2 linked regions of the Rattus norvegicus genome follow. The protein of the gene in region 2 interacts with the protein of the main gene of each other region in a pairwise test. Links are inferred from orthologs where the notes say so. Each region holds a gene or a part of one and is shown on either strand. Other genes may lie near its edges.

Region 1 (4,035 bases), on a different chromosome or scaffold from region 2:
TGAAGTACTAAGTGTGCACACGAAGTTCAGCAAAGGACACAGCAGCATAGCTTACAGAACCACATAAGGAAAGATGGTGCTGAGCTGCTCAGTAATCAAGTACCTGAAGCTAAATGCTGCACACGGGATTATATCATGTGGCATGTGCTAGCAAAGGGAGATGGAAATATAAATACTCAAAACAGGAAACACCTTAACTGCAATCTTGGGAAAATACGATACTACTTTTAAAGATTCAGAAACATTGTGAATCTTTTTACTAAGGACAGTCACAAAGAAGAGCAAAGGTACACAGAGAAACCTTTCAGAGGCAGAACAGCCAGGGTACAAATATGAAAGTGGCAGCTCAGTCTGAAAGGTACTGAGCATACTGAACAACTATAAGGCTAAGCCTGCTCCTGAGTGCACAGAAGCCTACTTTCTCCCGCTTTCTACCTCAGTTTACAGAGTCTCTGCCCTTCAAATAAAGTAAATTACTAAGTTTTTTTCAAAATTCTATTTTTAAGGTTATTCAAACTATTATAGTATTTAAAAATCACACTTGAAGAATTCGTCTAGTCAACCAAATGAAACAATGCAGGGTCATTTTTTGAAAGTAGTATTCCTCTCCATTTAAACAACGTTCAACTTTTAATTAACAAAGTTGTTTTATGTGCATATTTATATTTATATTTATGTGCATGTCTTTGTGCACATGTAGAGGCCATAAGTCAACCTTGGCTCTCTCAATCCTTCTCCACTGTTTTGTTTTATGTTTAAGACCTTGAACCTGGAATTCACCGGTTCAATCAGTGTTTGTGAGCAAGCTCCAGAGGTCTTACCTCCATCTCCCAAACACATGCGCACTGCCAAGCCTGTAATTTGTGGGTTCACTAAATGCAGCACACGTGTGCTCACACAACCTTACACAATTATTTTGTAACTTACCAGCCACCCTGGCTCTGAAAGAGGCATTATTCTCTGAGATCTCTATGTCAGCGCTTTAAAAGACTTTTCTTTGAAAATCACAAGAAGTCTCACTGCCTGTGTGTATCTAGCTTGTTAGTGAATGAGAACCTTTTATAACTTAAATCCAGAATGCAGAAAGGGTAGAAGAGATAGTAAGGCTTCAGGGATATGACAAATGCTAGTCCAGGTTTAATCTAAATTACCCTCACATGTTCACACTGTACCTTCTAAGACTCCTTCAGAAGACTCACAGTGATTTAAAAATCCTCACTCTCCATTAAGGCTCTGAAATTTGGTCACGTTTAAAAGTCTCAGCCTCAGTATCCTCATCCACAAAATGGAACTATTAACTGCATTTCACGGGTTTGTTCTGAGAATTTAATACATTCAATTATGTGTTTGCGTACTTAGTAAGTATTCAACAGATGTTAATGGACCTTTTCATCACCACTCACTTGTTTGGACCACAGAAGAAACTTTTAAAAAACCCATGTGGCTGAAGGCCTCATATTAGAACTCAGGCCTAATCTGAAAGCAGCTTAATTCACAGCACAGTATGCATCCAGAGTCAAGGGTACAGTCAATATCTAGTCTGTCTTTCTCATCATGGCACCTAGGCTTGCCTTAAACTCTCAGAAATGAGTTTGACATTTCCCTAATATCCATCCAAACTCAACCACCAGACATCTCTGAACCTGCAACTGATGTTTTCCACCTGTCACCCACTCATCAGAAACAGTTTTTAAAAATGGAAAGTCCAATGCACTAGTCATGCACTAAACACTTTACAGACACAGTTTTACCGAAACAGAAAGAAAATGCAATTCACAGATGTGGTACTAATTAGGCCTTATAAAGGCCAGACAGAGGCCTTGTCTCATGTTTCATACCCAAGACATAATTACGGTCCTGGGCTGGAGAGATGGCTCAGCCGTTAAAGGCTAGGCTCACAACCAAAAATATAATTACGGTCCTAACCTGAGTTGGAAAAACTCGACTCCCGTGGCGTTTCCACAAAGTAAACAAATATAAAATTTTATCTGCTTCGAGCTGCATCCACTCCATTGTGATCTGTTTCTATCCGTTCATGTTCTCCTTTGACATTTTGGAGGTTTCAAAACCGATGGAAATCGATTGACGAACTACATCGTCAATAAAGATTTCAAACTTAAGTTTAATCACTGGAGCACAGAGAAACTAGGATTCCTACGCACAGCTTTGAGTCTCAAAAATGAATAACGGTTTGGGGATCTCTGTCCTTACGGCTATTACGACACCAGTCTCTGATGGTGTAACAGAAATCTTGGTTTTCCAGAACCTATGATTCCTCCTTCCAAAACCTTACTCTTCAATATTTGTTCCGCAGGACGCTTGAGAAAAGCTGACAAAGAAACAAACCCAGGTTCTAGCAAAGACGTCCCACCCCAGACAGGCATAGGCCACCACGCCTGTAAACCAATCCTAGCACTCCAGAGGCTGAAGCAGGAGGATTGCGGCGAGCTGGAAGGTAGCTCAGACTGCAGAGCGTCGACTCCCACCACCAGGTCCCATCGCGCCCCGACGCCGTCCCTGTTCGGCAACGTCAGGCTCTTCCCACGGAGCCCAGGGCGTGTGGCCGGGAAGGCGGCTGCGCAGCGCTCGGCGGGGCGTCGGGCCTCGCGGCCCCGCGATCCAGTCAGCCGCCCGGGACCCGTTCCATCCCGCCCCGCCCCTCAGGGACTCGGAGGTCTCCCGGCCGGAGCCCTCGCCGGCCTGGGTCGCCTCACCTTGCGTTTGAGGCGCCGGGAAAAGGCGGGATAGGTAGGACGCCTCAGGCCGCGGCTCTCCGACCAACTGACAGCATCAGCCCCGCCCTTCCCGCCCACGGAGCGTGCGCCGAGCGAGGAGGCGGACTCCCACCAATCCTTACTCGAGATTGCACGCCTGCGCACTTGCTGCTGGACGCCGCGACTAGCCCTTGGCAGAGCACCGGGGTCCACCTTTGCCCTAACAAAAGGGCATTGACGCCCAATCAGGCGTGTTGGGCGTGTCCTAAAAAGGCAGCAACCAATCACGACGCAGAAGAGAAGACGCGCCAAAGAAAGAGGCTCTCGCTGCAGATCTTTTGTCTCGCCGGGATCCTGGAAAGTGAGGTTGGAAGTCACTTCACCTTTAAGAACGGAGTGAGCAGAGCAGTGTCATCGGCTGTCCCTCAATACTAAAAGCCCACCATCCCTATTTCTAAGATTAGAAAACGCACAAAGTGTATACCACTAATGGATGTTCCTCTCCGTACCCCATATTCTAGACAATTTTTTTAACTTACCGTTCACCCGACCACTTCATGATCCCTTAGAGCAACAGTCGCCTGATCTCAGGCGCAGAAAAACCAAGGCTTAATTAAAATTGTGTTTCTTACTCAAGTGTACATGTACAATGGGTTGCCAGATAGTTTTCGCGACACTTTATTATAACCTAACCTTTGAAACAAAAGTATCTTGCTGTTAGTGGTCAGTGACCACAGTATATCCCCACCTGCAAAGCACAGTATATTCCCACTTTCTGAGCTGCAGAGGCGAGCTTACAAATACTTTCTTCCTGGCTTTTCTTTTTTATATAAGATTTTATTTTTAATTGCATGAATATGTGGCGGCGTGTGTGCACGCGTGTGCAAGGTGCCTGAAGATGCTAGAAGAGGGAATCAGATCTCTGGAATTGGGGTTACAGAGGGTTGTGAACCACCTGATAAGGATGCTAAGACCCCCAACATAGCTTCCCGTGCAAGAGCAGTAAGTGCTGTTAACTGCTGAGCCATTTCTACAGCTCCCAGGTGTCTCTTCCCCCACTTAGTAGGACTTGCTAACCGTCACCGTAATCCTTTATAAATAAAGTATCTTCCATTTGGTGTTTGAGACGAATATATTTGGCTCACACTACTACTCGGGTTTGAGGGAAGAATACAATGAATACAAGAAGAGAGGGAAATCCCAGGTAACTCTAAGAGGAGTGCCAACAAAGTAACAGAGAGAATGAATAGGGGCAATAGTCAAAAAACTACGGCATTTTCCAAAGTAGTGAAGAACACACTTTCTTTTCAAATGCGAATGC
Region 2 (3,514 bases):
GAAATGAAGCTAGTCTGAGGAAAAGAACAAACACAGAAGCAGAGGGAAGGGACACAAACTGACAAGCAACCAGGCAGGGTTCTGGGAAAAGAGCAGTTCTGACAGGATCAAACGAAATGCTTGTTCAGTACTATATGCCGCCTCCTCTCATGAATCTGGCTGAAAACCGGGAGGATGAGAGGAGGGGCAGTCCATGGAGGTCACTTCAGTTCCTCCCTCACACTGCAAAGCAGGGAGCCAGGAGGCCACTGCTGAAGCCCTAATGTCTGCACCTCGAAATGGGACTGGGTGAGCTGGAGGGAAGGATTGAGAAAGGCCATAAAGTGAAAATGAGTTTATTCTGTGGACTTTAACACGATGTAACTGCTATCTTTACAGAAGGAAGAGGGAGGACAAAGATGACTTCCTGAAAACCCAAGGAGAGCACAGTTGTCCCCAGCTACAAGCCAAGGAGCTGGATTTTAACACCTGTCCTACAAAGCTCTGAGAAGGTAAATTCCACTGTCTAAGCTGCACAGTCTGAGGAACTTTCTCAGAATGCTAACTAATACATACTTCCTATATCTTATCATATCAAGACTGGATTTTGGATTTAGTACCCCAGCAATGCTAAGGGTTTATCTACAGAGCTATGGCCAAATCACATCAGAGGGGGAAAATGTAGTGTGTCAGAGAACCTTTCAAAGGTTAAAAAGAAACCACATAACACAAAGGGATTAAGGCGGCCCAGCCTCAGACTTCTGGGCAGGCCACAGATACAAACCCAGATCCTAAGAGGATCTTACCCAGCAGGGAACTAGGCGATAATCAGGATGCATCAACGCCAGCACCAGAGCCAGTCTCAGGGCAATCCGTGCTGGGGATGGCTATTCAGAACCTCTTCAGGACAACCAACCACATGGTATTTACAGTCCAGTGTGGTCATATACAGACACAGATCCAACTCTAAGAAAATCTCACTTCCCAAAATTCTTCAAAGCTACATCAAAGGCAACTGTTTGTAAACTTAGGAATTCCTTTCAATAAATAGATTACTATCTTGCTTTTTATGATCTAACTTTCTCTCCCAAAACTACATGCTGAAGTCTTAACCCGCAGTACTGTGGAATACACCAGGGCTTGAAATATTTACAGAGACAACTAAGTGAAAATGAGGTACGAGGCTGGTCCTCAATCTAATGTGACCAGTGTCTTACAGGAAGATGAAGAAGCGTGGGACACTGGTATGTACGGAAGGAAGCCCGGGGAAAGGATGGCCACCTACAGACCAGGAGGAGGCCTTGGGAGGAGCAAACCCTTAACCTTGGACCTGAGACTTATCAGAACAACCAGGAAATAAACTCAGGTTGTTGAAGCGACCCAGTCTGCATAAAATTCTCCCAAAAGCAAACTAATCCCAGGCTTGAAGAAAGTACAACAGAGTCCTGAACAATGGCGAAAGTATGTGCAGGGAATTATATGGCCAGAGGACCTGAGAAAATCAAAGCTCTCTGAAGATGGTGACATTCTGTGTTGGATGTAGACAGAAGGCACGGAGACTGATGGAGGGAGGGTCTCTTACGCTCTTCACAGCTGCTCATGCTAGAGCTCTTGAGAGTCTGAATCTCCTGGGAGAGCATGGAGAGCCGGTCTGACTGTGTGGGGGTCTCATCGTCTTCTAGGTCTGGTGACTCCTGCATCATTTCTTCAATTTCTTCAATAACCTTCCAAAACATGTATAATGCGTTAATCAAATAAATTCATGGAGAAAAGACCTGACTGTGCCACAGTGCTTACTGGACTACCCAGGTAGAGGGACATTAAGTGCCTACTATGTGCAGGACGCACATGTAAAAGTGAACACAGCTTATGGAATCTACAATATATGAACACAGAATTAAATAGAATATGATCTGGTGTGTCTGCTGCGATTCAGCAGACACTAGTACATCTTGATGTCTAATGTGCCATGAGTTACCGAGACACGGATCACAGTGACGGCTGAAAGATGGTAAAATGGGGAAATGTTCTCTACACCTCACAAGTGTGCTCAACACCAATATAATCTACAGTAACCAAAACTTTGACATAAAACTTACAAATATACATAGAAATAATCACAGATAAAGCAGGAAGTTAGCTCTCTAACTGCCAAAGAATTTCATTTATTAACTCAGTGAAGGACAAAGGGGTATTTTTTAAATTACCCAAACCAGAATCAGACAGGAAAAAGCTTCGAGAAGAAGGGCGACTCCAGGCACACACCTGGCTTTAATTACACCATGACCTACTGTCATACTGGGTATGACCCAAGCTGCACAGCAGTGCCTTGTCTGATTCCAGATTCTGAGAGAGAAAAAGGAAGTAGACCCTAGAAGAGAAAGCTACTCACTACTTAAAGGGGGGCTGGAAAGACATTTAAACATTAACGAACACTGTAAAATACAATTCAGTGGTGACACAGAACACCGCGAGTGCATCTGAAAGCACCTAGGCATTAGTGAATGTATCGGAGCTCTTCAGCTGGGTAAAAGCCACCCCAAGAGGGCCGGTGCCCATACAGAGCCGTGGACAGTACGTGAGGCGTTCCAGGGGGCTAGAGCACGAGATTCTGTGAGTCTTAAAAACAGAAAGGACGTGGCACCCGGCAGATTTCTTGGGGACCGAGACTGCTCAGGGTCACACACAGCTCTTTCTGAACTGTCATGCCTTCCATAGATAGCATTACCTTTCTTGTTAGCACCACAGTTGTCTAAGCCTAGAACAATCCAACCACAAACGTAATCAGGGAATCAGAAGGACATTCCTCCCGTGTACACGTACTCCTCTGACCTTCCCATAACATATCTCCTTACTGACCTTCCCTTCCCTGACTAAAAATAAAAGGTGACAGAATGCACAGCCTGCAGCCCACAGAGCCACTGTGGGCTCACTCTGACAGCAGGGCAGAGGCGGGAGGAGTACTCAGACAAAGACAGAGCTGACTCAACTGATCTCAAGCGAAGATAAGGCTGATATTACTGCAGCACCCCACAGGTATAAGGCTGATATTACTACAGCACCCCACAGGTATAAGGCTGATATTACTGCAGCACCCCACAGGTATAAGGCTGATATTACTGCAGCACCCCACAGGTATAAGGCTGATATTACTGCAGCACCCCACAGGTATAAGGCTGATATTACTGCAGCACCCCACAGGTATAAGGCTGATATTACTACAGCACCCACAGGTATAAGGCTGATATTACTGCAGCACCCACAGGTATAATGTTGGCTTCTTTCCACAGAAGAGAACAGACACTTCTCTTATTTGTTAAAATTCTTACCAAGGGCTCTACCAAAGCAAGCCTGGTGGGACCAAGCATGACAGCTCAAGCCTTTGATTTAAGCACTCAGGAGGCAGAGGCAGGTGGGTCTCTATAGCTCAAGAACACCTTAGTCTGCAAAGGGACTTCCAGGCCAGTCAGGGTATAGAAGGAGTCCTCGCCTCAAAACAAACAAAAAATACCAACTCAATATTCCAACTCACTCA

Evidence for each region. The genes of interacting proteins can lie anywhere in the genome.
Region 1: the proteins of Fez2 (region 2) and Scoc interact in binary tests that used the Homo sapiens proteins (3 or more experiments, as listed by UniProt). The link is inferred for Rattus norvegicus from reciprocal best matches to the Homo sapiens genes FEZ2 and SCOC.

The regions. Positions count from the first base shown.
Region 1 is NC_086037.1:41,586,423-41,590,457, reverse strand, and holds the start of Scoc (short coiled-coil protein), read right to left. Parts: upstream 2,812-4,035; 5' UTR 2,715-2,811; intron 1-2,714. UniProt on the Homo sapiens protein: Positive regulator of amino acid starvation-induced autophagy.
Region 2 is NC_086024.1:22,420,286-22,423,799, reverse strand, and holds part of Fez2 (fasciculation and elongation protein zeta-2), read right to left. Parts: intron 1,704-3,514; coding exon 1,562-1,703; intron 1-1,561. UniProt on the Homo sapiens protein: Involved in axonal outgrowth and fasciculation.